3 linked regions of the Coturnix japonica genome follow. The protein of the gene in region 3 binds, or shares a complex with, the protein of the main gene of each other region. Links are inferred from orthologs where the notes say so. Each region holds a gene or a part of one and is shown on either strand. Other genes may lie near its edges. The genes, in order: RUVBL1, ASDURF and PDRG1.

Region 1 (4,196 bases), on a different chromosome or scaffold from region 3:
CTCACTCACTGCCCAGGGAGAGGTACAGACACTATCCCTGGAGGCTGTTCCTTGACAGGCTGAGGGAGTTGGGTTTGTTCAGCCTAGAGAAGAGAAGGTTGCGGGGTGACCTCATTGCAGCCTTTCAATACCTGAAGGGAACTTACTCCCAGGAGGGGAGTAAACTCTTCGAAAGGGCTGATAATAGCAGGACACGGGGAAACGGTTTTAAGTTAAAAGAGGGAAGATTTAGATTGGATGTTAGGGGGAAGTTCTTTACTAGGAGAGTGGTTCGGCCCTGGAACAGGCTGCCCAGGGAGGTTGTGGATGCCCCGTCCTTGGAGGTGTTCAAGACCAGGTTGGACGGGGCCCTGGGCAACCTGATCGCCTAGTAAACGCGTTGGTGATCAGATTTGGTGGCCGCTTCAGCTCAGGCGAGGGGGGTTGGAACTACAATGAATCCTTAGAGGTCCCTCCAACCCGGCCGTCATTCTGTCGATTCTGAATTGACGCATACCCAGAACGCCGTGCGCCAGATGTGGTAACTGCAGGGATGGTGGCAATCAGGCCATAGTGCCATGGGTCCGTGGTTGGATATTACGATGAAACACTCATGGCAATCTTTCCAACCTTAACTAATTCCATGAGTCATCTCCTCGCCCAGAATCTACCAACAGAGAAGAACGCACTGGATGGCAGCCAGGCTCTGAAACGCCCTCTGAGATTTCACAGCATTTCCACCCCAAGCACTGATGGACCACATAAGAGGTGCAGTAACACTACAGCAGAGCCCACAGCCATGGTGGTGGGAGATCTGTTACATGAGGGAGCTCTGAGGGTGTGGAGATGAGACACGACCCCCCGAACAACTGTTTTCCCCCCTCAGTTTATCAGTACTCTCGACGTGGGGAGGAGCTGTCCGTCGCTATATTATACTGTTATAAAAAAGGCGAAGTTAAAGGCTCAGATATTGCCGTGGGCACGTAAAACGTAAATAACTGCTGGTTAAAAATTAACCAGCAGTGGTTAAATTAACACACTGGTAAAGGCAGGACGACAGCAAAGCCCACCCAAAGGCTCGGCCCCTGCTCGGTCCCGGCCCATCTCCCCACACCCACCCTCCCCCGCACCTCGCCGCCGCACGCCGGACCGCTTTGAGTCGAGAGCGCAGCCGACGGAATGCGGCGACAGACGGCCCACACACTCTCAAATATGTATCGCCAGGCCCGCCGCTGCAGCTCGTCCGGTGAACAGGTCACGCCTAACCGCAGACACCATCACAACAGCCGCGCGAGGCGCGGCAGACGCAGGGCCAATTGACGAGACGCGCGGGAGCGGGGGAGCCCGAGGAGGCCGCGCGCCGGCGTAGGCCTTGGTAACGCGCGGGCCGCGTGATGCGCGGGTGGACGTGAGGGAGAAGGGAGACCCGTGGCGCCGATGAAGATCGAGGAGGTGAACCGAGCAACCTGCGACAGACGCATCCGCGGCAATCCGCAGCACAACAGCCTGTTAACTGGGCCCTCCGGGGGCTGCGACGAGACGGCGGCACTCCGCCAAACCGGCGGGCCGCCGCGCCTGGTGCGGACAGGAGAACGCGCGGGAGGTGAGAGATGGGCCCCTGCACCTGGCGCACTGCTCGCGGGCTGGCACGGCCGCCGATCATAGAGCGCCAGGCCCGGGCTGTGAGATTCGCCCGTTACTACTCGCTGGATTGTCGGATAAACGATCTACAGGGTTTTAAGGCTCCACTTCAAAGATTGGTGCCCGTGAGGTGGTGCAGGGCCCAGCCAAGTCCGCCTGCTCCGCTCGCGACAGGCCGGGTGGGGGTTTGTCACAGAATGACCCGGGTTGGAAGGGACTGGACTCAAGGATCATGTTTCAACCCCCTGCCGTGGAAGGGCCACGCAAAATCATATATCACCTTTACTAGATCAGGTTGCCCCGCAACAGGTCCGCCGTCAGCAACGCTGGGTCACTTGACAAGCACCTCCAAGGTATGGGGCAGTCCACAACCTCCCTGGGCAGCCTGGTTTCGCAGGGCCCTAACCTGAACTCTCCTAGTGAAGAACTTCCCCCTAACATCCAACCTAAATCTTCCCTCTTTTAACTTCAAACCATTTCCCCGTGTCCTGCTATTATCAGCCCTTTCCAAGAGTTTACTCCCCTCTTGCTCTGTTTTTAGGCTTTGATACCTGCGTGCAGCTCTGCAAGGGGAAAAAGATCCCCAGCTCTTTGGTTTGAGTTCTGTTTGATTTATTTCTTTAATGTGCCAGATACAGGGACTGCAGGAAGTGATTTCTTTCTTACCTCACTCCTATGTATAACATTGAACTGCAGTTTAATTTTGGCACCTCAGAAGATCAGTAGTTCTAAACACTTCTAGTATCACTGGAATTAAATGTATTTTAACAGTACTCTTGTTAATGGTGCCAACCCTTATCCTGCAGGCTTGTGGGGTTATAGTAGAGCTCATCAAAAGCAAGAAGATGGCTGGCAGAGCTGTCCTGTTGGCAGGACCTCCTGGAACTGGCAAGGTATCCTGATATTTTTATTTTCCTTTTCTTGCAAGAAATAAAACCTTCTGAAATCCGCTGTAATTTAACGTGCTGCCACAAGCATTTTAGAATAGCGGTTATATATTGTCTTCATCTGCTGTTGTGTTTTTTTTCCTCCATTAAGGTATTGACACAGTCTCCTGTTTTGTGTTTAATTTTTGCCACGTCATTAGCACTGGCAGCATCCTCTGGTTTGTGCAGCCATCATTAGTGCGAAAGCACCTAATATAGGTTGCCAAACACAGAGGCAGGACAGTTTCTGATTAGTCTTATAAGTTAATTCGATATTAAAAGCCTAAATAGTTATTCTTTTTAGTTGTTTTTCCCTTTCCATCTCATTTCTATAAGATGTTAAATTCAGAAGTCCACTATCATTCCTTTACAGTGTTTATAAGTCATTGGTAGAAGTCACCTTATGCGTGTCTAATTTGTTTTGGTGGGAGATGTTTGTTATATGTGAGAGATGTCAGAGCAGTTATAATATAGTATATATATGTATATATATATATAATACTATAGTATAGTAGTAGTAGTTGATAGAGTGAAGGTGATACGATGAGGAAAGTTAACTTAGTGCAGAAAGAATCCTCATAAAAATGAAATGCTTAATTTCTTTTTCCATTTTTAAAGACTGCCTTGGCTTTAGCTATTGCTCAGGAACTTGGCAGTAAAGTTCCCTTTTGTCCTATGGTTGGAAGTGAGGTCTATTCTACTGAAATCAAGAAAACAGAAGTTCTGATGGAAAACTTCAGACGAGCAATTGGTAAGTTTCAGAAAAACAGAAACGTTTTTATGTGATACTTACATTGTTTTTTCTAGTGATCTGAAAAGGAAAAATCTTGGTGGTCACGGTGGTTTCCAGAACATGATGTGAACTTTTCTTCAATGCTGATCTTAAACTGGGGAATCTCTCCCACACTTAGTAGAGTCAGTAAGGTTTTCTGGATATAAATGCTTGTGTCCCACAGATATTTTTACTTACTCTCCTCCCCCAGGATCTCTTCTTGTCCTCCAGGTTCCACCTCCTGATGCCACCTGTGACACTCCAGAAATCTGAAAGAAAATCTGTTTTTAGTTTCTTACATTAGCAGAAATGCTTATAGACAGCAAAATGCTTTCCCTTGTACTTTAGTGATTCCACCTTGCTGAGCAAGCAGCCTTCTCGAGGGGTTCCCAAGTGGCAGCATTAGCCTGGCTCAGTGTTCCAGTGAGCACAGAGGAAGTTCCATGCCAGCAAAATAAATAATATCTTCAATATCTTCCTCAATTCTAGAGTGCTTTTACAAAGTCAACGTAAATTGGGTAAATTTGCAACGCGACCTCACTAAGTAGTTAAAATCTCTTTTATGATCTCTGCTGACAGCTGATAAATGCGGTTAAAATGGCCCTTGTTTGTGTAAGGATTGCCTAAAGATGACCTAACTGAAAAACTGAACTTATTAACAGTTAATTTCCCTGATTTCTCTGCCGTGTTTCCTCTCTGACTTCATCTGAGTATCTGGGGGTGGTGAAGAGGTCTCTCAGTTCTGCAACCAAGTAAAAGTATTCCATTCATTTTCATAAGAAAAACCTTCAGTAGTCTCTGGTCTAGTTACCATGAATCTGGCAGGGCCTGGGGGATGGAAGCCAAAGACTGAGCAGTCTGCAATATTTCCTTGATGT
Region 2 (4,117 bases), on a different chromosome or scaffold from region 3:
CTTCCCAAAGGGCACTAAGAAAAGCGACTCCTCTGTGGAAGGACTCCCTCCTGTATCTTCAGCACATGCTGTTTTACCACACATGCAAATCAAGTGGGAACCACATTCATTCAGCCCAGAAAAGCAGGCACAACTGAAGTCCACTTGGTATTTAACATGCAGTTGCCAGCTTTCCCACTGTACTACAACTTGGAAATCTTCAACAGCTACAGAGACAGCTTTTAAACAGTTGAACTATTACCTTTGGTGCAGCAAACTTACTTTTGCATTGAGACAGTGTTTCTGTTCGGTCTACAAGGAAGAATATGTTGCTATTGGGTTGCTGCCTATAAACTTTCTGTAAAATAAATACAACACCACATTAAGTAAAAGTAGCATACACAGGCAACCACACTGCAGCAGAAACTCACTGAAGTCCACTGAGATACCCTTCCCTTTTATGTCTGAAAGATACCTTCTCTGCCATGAGCAATGTCCTCATGTCGCACCAAAACATTTCAGGAACAACCCACAACCATTCTGCATTTTCCTCCTTTCCTCATACTTAAAGGGTCATATTTTGTTTTACATCATATGCACATGAAAAATAAAGAAGCTTTTAACATAAACTGATCCACTCAAACATCATAATATAAAAATTGTGCTAAAGTAAAACCTTGAGACAGCTTCCTGTTACAATGCACAAGTGTAAGTAAACCCTCAAGCGATGTAGACAACATTTTGACACCATACAGAAGATCATATACACATTAAAATCTTTAGTGTAACAACTAAAGATAATGTACTCACTGCAATTTTGTTTGCCCTCTTGCCTCTATACAAATTTATCTGATGCTAAAATGAAGTAAGCAGAAAAAACTTTAATGCTTACCCTGTTCTTCTTCAAATTCGAAAGCTCATCAACTACAACCTTCTGTTCCTTAATCTGAAAGAGAAAAAACACATCTCAATATAATTGTCAACAATAAACTACTGTGTTGCAGTCCTGGAGATTAAAATCTTTACCCATGTTTTTAAGACAGCTATAAAAATATAAGTCACTGTGCCCTGAACAGACCACTAAAATGAAAGTGGACACAGGAATGAAAAAGAAATTTCATTACCCATTATTCCAAGCATACAACAAGTCTTCGGACCACATAACTGAATTACATTTAACACACTTCTTATTGAAATCTAAGTTATGAATTCAACAATAAGACAATGAAGCACTCTAAATAACTGCTTTGGAAGGGAATTATCTTGCATGGTTGACACTGTTCCCATCCCCCCAAAGCAGTCATTACTGGGAAGCCAGAGTACTCCTCGCTGCTCAGAATCCAAAATCACTTCACCCTCAACCTCCCCCAAAAAAACAAACGTATAAACAACTATTAACATTTGTCAGCCTGGAGAAGAGGAGGCTCAGGGGAGACCTTATAGCTCTCTATAACTTCCTGAAGGGAGGTTGTAGTGAGCTGGGGGTTGGCCTCTTCTCTCATGTAAGAGATGACAGAACTAGAGGGAATGGTTTTAAGCTGTGCCAGGGGAGATTCAGGCTGAACATTAGGAAGTATTACTTCTCAGAAAGGGTAGTCAGGCATTGGAATGCACTGCCCAGGGAGGTGGTGGAGTCACCGACCATGGGAGTGTTCAAGAAACGTCTGGATGTTGTGTTGATGAATATGATTTAGCTGGGAAGTATTGGTAACGGTTGGACTAGATGATCTTCTAGGTCTTTTCCAACCTTGATAATTCTGTGATTACGCAACTTAGAGAAAAGATTTACCTACACAATACACTTTATAATCTTATTCTCCAGATTCAAAATGAAAACAGTAAATGAAACAATTAAAAACCTACATAACCAATAACCCCCCCCCCCCCCCCCAAATAAATAAATATGTATAAAACAACCCCAAAACTGTATTAAGATAATTAGAAACACTTCCAGTACACTGGACTTTTAGCACAAAGTTGTCATGCTGCATCTACCGCCATCAGTTCAGCTGCACTGACACAAACAGTCCAATGCTCCTGCTTCCCTGGACAACGTCAGCCACTAAAGACAAAGAGCCATTAAAGACAAAGAGCAATCAGGGCCCATCAAAAAAGCTGAAACACAAAGCTAAAGTGGTTCAACACACACTACTTTCTGTAAGCACAGAACACACCTTACTCCGGTCCTCCTTTCTGCCTCCTGGAATTGGCGCAGATGGAAATAACTACAGGGCTGTATAAGGCAAACTGAACTGAGAAAATGCTGTTTCACCAACAGCTACAACAGCATACTATGATAGTTATTGAAACAGACAAGAACACAGTGCAGTCTTGTGATGCAAAGCAGAACCAGGCATTTCAGCCACGCAGCTAATACGCTGTGTTGTGCTGATGCAGTTGCTCTCTTTAGTCTCTTATGTAACCAATCAACTAGAGAACAACACTAATCTATTGCGATATTAGTGTAGAAGAATAAAGTCACTTTTTATGCGAGGACAACTGACCAGGACTGTACAGAACTCACACTGAACAAAGACAAGACTGCCACTACGAAAAGCCCAGCTTTAAAGCTGGCCTCCTCACTAAACTCCCTCACGACTTGCTCAACAAACCCAGAGAACCACATTCTCCTTCGACTAATCACACACAGCCCATCTCACAACACTAAAAACGGGAAGGGAACTCGCCAGAAGGGCTCACAACACTCGAGCTCCCCCACACCTTCACCTGGGCCACAGCGCAGCTCAGCCTCCAGCACACCCTCCTCCTTCCCACACACAACTATGAGACGCAGGGCAGCACCTCAGACCCTCCATAACTCACCCTCCGGCTCAGCTCCTCCTTACGGCCCAGCTCGGCGCTCTCCTCCTCCTCCCGCCGCGACATCCCCAGCTCGCAGTGCCGGCCGCTGCCGTCGCACAGCAATATACGCACAACGGCTGCGCCTCACGCTGTGGGCTCCAAACAACTGCAGCGACTGCGCATGCGTACAGCAGAGCGGCTGTTAGGCGCGTATGGCTGAGGTGGAGTTATGGCCGTAGTGGCTGTGGAGCAATGAGACCATTTTCCTTCAGTACCGGCTGCCTTGTTGTCGGATCTTTGATAGTATTTTGATTCATGGAGACATTTCCCGTTAGTCCCCTGCTTGAGCTCTACTCATCTGTTGTGCTGTGTCCAGGTGTGGAGCCCTCAGTACAAAAAAGACATGGAGATTTTGGAAAGGGTCCAGAGGAGGGACAGGAAGATGATCAGGGGGCTGGAGCACCTCCCCTATGAGGACAGGCTGAGGGAGTTGGGTTTGTTCAGCCTGGAGAAGAGAAGGTTGCGGGGTGACCTCATTGCAGCCTTTCAGTACCTGAAGGGAACTTACTGCCAGGAGGGGAGTAAACTCTTCGAAAGGGCTGATAATAGCAGGACACGGGGAAATGGTTTTAAGTTAAAAGAGGGAAGATTTAGGTTGGATGTTAGGGGGAAGTTCTTCACTAGGAGAGTGGTTAGGCCCTGGAACAGGTTGCCCAGGGAGGTTGTGGATGCCCCGTCCTTGGAGGTGTTCAAGGCCAGGTTGGACGGGGCCCTGGGCAACCTGATCTAGTAAAGGTGTATGTTTGGTGGCCCTGCCAGGCAGGGGGGTTGGAACTACATGATCCTTGAGGTCCCTTCCAACCCGGGTCATTCTATGATTCTGTTGGAACCTTCATTATCTGTCTTGCTACATTAACCAAAGATGATAAGTGAATGCTTCATCCTTCTGTGCCATCTTCCAAGTAGTAGTAGTGCTTTAGCTTAGGATGCAAGTAGCAGTGTGTCTTCTTGGTGTGGAAACAGAATCAATGAGATGAGACGGCTCAACCTGGCTGTTCCAAAATACACTTAAACAGTAGGACTAAAAGAGTACGACACATCGTGTGAGACAGTGCTGACATTATGAGTAGAACAGAAATGCTGCACGTCCAGCCTGTGTAGCCCTCAGTGAAGGAAGGAGACTGCTGTAAATCCACTGTGTGGAAAGGCATGGAGAGCGTCTGGACGGGCTGATACACGGCAAGGTCCAACTTGCTATTTCTTCATGTGCAAGTGAAATTGGTAAGTGTACAGTAAGAGCTTGAGATGCTATGAAAGGTTGTAGCAGATGGAAGTG
Region 3 (3,525 bases):
ACTTTCAGTCTGTGCATCTCTAACTTAAGCCTGAAGTGGAGAGCAGATGAGCTACCTGGAGAGCCAGAGCTGATTTTATGACCTCTGCCAAAACTATTATGACTTAAATCAGTTATCCCATTGCTACAGGCCAAATCCAGCCTGTTCAAGCTGCAGTTTTTGCTAATATGTGTCCATTTTATTCTTTCATCCTGTTTTGAGAGCCTTATTTTTCTGTATTCTCTTGGCTCCCACCTTGACAGCAGCCTGTGTTTTCCCATTGAGACAAACACGCTGCTGCCTTCTGTTCCTCCCTACGCATCTCTCAGGAGATTCCTGACGTGTTTCAGATGCACGGGTTTCATTTCATTTTAATACCACAGGCACACACAGCTCTTCTATACTCTGGGCACGCTGTACATTTACAATTCCTCCTACTTCTGTTCCTGACACTGCAGTGAACTCGCTCTGCAGCCAAACTACAGAAGCTCTCACATAACAAACCCAACAACAAACACACACACACAGAGTTAGGAATGCCCCACAGTGCTGGTTTTAATAATCCCCCTTGCAGGCGGGTGTTTGTCAGAGGCTGTGAATAAGCCACTGTTCCAGCAGTTGCCTCAGCACTGCTCTGCCACCGGCAGCAAGGAGTGGGGAGAGTTTACAGCCAGAATTACAGCTGAGGAGCTGTATCCTTCCCTGTGCCCACCAGGTTCTTTAGGAGAGGCTCCAGCAATGCAGGAGAGCTGGAAATCCTACAGGCTGTGTCTGATGCAGTGCAAATGCTGTGAGTGATACCCGACCACCGCAGGCTGAGCAGTGCTTGCACACGGTTGTGGTGGTGGCAGGGCTGTCTCAACCTTCCAGGATGCGATTGATCAGTTTCATTTCCTCTGCACTCATGGGGTTCAGGTTAAATCCCTTCAGCTCAGGTTTACCTGTAGGGATGTGCAGAACGTTGGGGTTTTGCTATAAGACACATGAAGCATTCCATGTGAAACCACGCAGCAATGATGGCTCTCAGCATCGTGAAGGTTGGAAAAGAGCCCTGAGATCATGAAACCCAACCCTGCCCACATCCCTCAGTGCCACATCCCTGCGGTGCTGGGATGCCTGCAGGGATGGTGATGGAGAACCAATTGTTCCTACTATCCACCCTGGTCGTTGCTGTGTGTATCCAGCACGCTGCTGGCTGACAGCTTTACCAGGGTAGGGAGGGAATGACAGAGTGAGAGGAGGAGCAGCCCCGGCAGCACTCACACATTGACTTCTCCCCAGCATCTGCAGCCAGACCTTTGCTGTTGGGGTTCAAGACCAGGAGTGTTTTACCTTGAGCTTCAAAGAGACGGTTGACCTTCACACGCAGCTCTTTCCGGAGGTTGTTTATCTCCTCATCCAGCTGTTCCTGATCTGAAAATAGCAGGGCAAGAATAAGGGGGGTTAACCCATGACATGGGGACTGGGGTTGAACAAGGGACCAACAGAGACCCTGCCGGGCTGTGTGAGCAGGGCAGGATGGCAGCATTGCTCTGTTTTAGCTCCGAGCTCCTCGGGGTGAGCAGATCCCTCCGTACCGCTCTGCAGCATCTCCTTGGCCTTGGCCTTGTGCAGCTCGATGAAGGTGCTCCCGAAGCACACCATGGCTTTCCCTGCAGTGAGGACCAGCCGTGCTCAGCGCTGTGCCCCGCACACACCGCCCCGATCCCGGCCGAGCTCCGGGACTCACCGTCCGGCTCCGGGTCTTTAAGCAGCGCCCGCAGCGCCTCGCGGTTCCGGTTCCGCTTCACGTCCAGATCGACGATCTGCAAAGAGACGGGAGGGGATGGGGATAAAGGGGGGGGTCGGGGGTTGTCGGGCCGAACCGGGTCGGGTCTCACCTGCTGCCGTGCGGCCAGCACGTCCTCGGCCAGCTCCTCCACCTCGGCCAGGTAGCGCAGCACAAACGCTGGGTCCCGCGCCATGTCGGGCCGCTCCGCCCCGTCCCATCCCCGCTCCCCGCCGGGCGGCAGCAGCGGCCGCGATCCGGAGTTCCGCGTAGAGCGCCCCCGTGTGGACACTGCGGGAATTGCAGTGTCAATTGCTGACAATAGCAGGACACGGGGAAATGGTTTTGAGTTAAAAGAGGGAAGATTTAGGTTGGATGTTAGGGGGAAGTTCTTCACTAGGAGAGTGGTTAGGGCCTGGAACAGGCTGCCCAGGGAGGTTGTGGATGCCCCGTCCTTGGAGGTGTTCAAGGCCAGGTTGGACGGGGCCATGGGCAACCTGATGTAGTAAAGGTGTATGTTTGGTGGCCCTGCCAGGCAGGGGGGTTGGAACTACATGATCCTTGAGGTCCCTTCCAACCCGGCTCATTCTGTGGTTCTGTATGTGAATCGGCCGGGCAGTGCTGTGGGGCGGCTCTGAAACACGGGGTGAGATTTCAGGGCTCCCCTGGTGGAGCTGAGGGTTGGGTTCAGTCATTGCTTCCATCCTGGGGTGTTCTGTGGTTCTGTGGCTGCCAGGAGCGAAGCTCTTGGTGCGCAAATAATCCCCAGAGGAAGATTAAGCAGATCGGAAGATTACCGGCCTTAATCTCGTAAAGTCGTTTGTGACAGTTAACGGGAGAGATCTCGGTCTGTGGCAGAGTGTGCTGAAAGAAGAAGGTGCCCAGTGAAGTGGTGGAAATGAGCACTGCCCGTCTGCATCCAACCCCGTCCTAGCGGGGACTTGGAGCTCGATGATCCTTGAGGTCCCTTCCACCTCGAGCCATCACATTCTACGTGATAGCAGTAGCAGAGAGAAGCCTGATGTCCACCCCTGAAGCAGGCAGTGCTACTCAGCAGCTCACAGCAAAATAAAGGCTGTGGGTTTACCGTGGCCACACAGAGGGTTGCATGAGAGCTGCAGCTGAGCTGTGGCAGGAGGCATCACAAAGCTTTGGGCACCTGGAAAACATTCCCAAGGCAACGATGGCTGCTGGTGCCATGCTCTGCAGGCCTCTCCCACAGCAGGCCCTGAGCCAGATGCAAATCATCACAGCCTTCCTTCTCCTGGACCCGGCGCCGTAGGAAAGCTGCTTGCCTGGAAGCTGGACTCAGCCTGAAGGCTGGAGGCTCGTTCAGATTGATTGCATGTTTATGTGCCCTCCTGGGAACCTGTCTGTGCAGACAGAGCATGTGGTCATCCACTCGCTGCTATGGGATGGTTTGCATCTGTCTGTATTTTGTGGCGTAAAGGGAAGGTCTGGGTTTCAGCACGTTCCTTTTTCTTTCTTCCTTGAATCACTTTCATTTATGCAGCTCAGAACCCTCCCTGCCTGCCTGCTGACAGCTGCACAGGAAGGCTTCAGGGATGTTTATGGGGTGGGTTTTTTTTCCTTCTCATCTTTCCCTGTGATTGCCAGGGTCTGCTGTTAAGATAAATCAGACATCAAACCACAGTCACCTCGCATGCAGGCTTTGGATGTTCAGCTCCGCTTTGGAGGCAGCATTTCAGGGTTTGTGGAGGAGGGGATCCCTCCTCCCCCTCCTTTCCCTTTGTCCTGGAGCTGTGTCCACCATCACC

The links.
Region 1: PDRG1 (region 3) and RUVBL1 share a complex: the UniProt entries of both Homo sapiens proteins name them as parts of the PAQosome complex. The link is inferred for Coturnix japonica from reciprocal best matches to the Homo sapiens genes PDRG1 and RUVBL1.
Region 2: PDRG1 (region 3) and ASDURF share a complex: the UniProt entries of both Homo sapiens proteins name them as parts of the PAQosome complex. The link is inferred for Coturnix japonica from reciprocal best matches to the Homo sapiens genes PDRG1 and ASDURF.

What each region holds. Positions count from the first base shown.
Region 1 is NC_029527.1:7,146,646-7,150,841, forward strand, and holds the start of RUVBL1 (ruvB-like 1), read left to right. Parts: upstream 1-1,331; 5' UTR 1,332-1,582; intron 1,583-2,426; 5' UTR 2,427-2,465; coding exon 2,466-2,513; intron 2,514-3,164; coding exon 3,165-3,297; intron 3,298-4,196. UniProt on the Homo sapiens protein: Possesses single-stranded DNA-stimulated ATPase and ATP-dependent DNA helicase (3' to 5') activity; hexamerization is thought to be critical for ATP hydrolysis and adjacent subunits in the ring-like structure contribute to the ATPase activity.
Region 2 is NC_029522.1:4,422,804-4,426,920, forward strand, and holds the start of ASDURF (ASNSD1 upstream open reading frame protein), read right to left. Parts: upstream 2,933-4,117; 5' UTR 2,866-2,932; coding exon 2,803-2,865; intron 926-2,802; coding exon 872-925; intron 338-871; coding exon 262-337; intron 1-261.
Region 3 is NC_029535.1:8,958,006-8,961,530, reverse strand, and holds PDRG1 (p53 and DNA damage-regulated protein 1), read right to left. Parts: upstream 2,018-3,525; 5' UTR 1,944-2,017; coding exon 1,860-1,943; intron 1,785-1,859; coding exon 1,709-1,784; intron 1,632-1,708; coding exon 1,557-1,631; intron 1,393-1,556; coding exon 1,312-1,392; intron 921-1,311; coding exon 838-920; 3' UTR 510-837; downstream 1-509. UniProt on the Homo sapiens protein: May play a role in chaperone-mediated protein folding.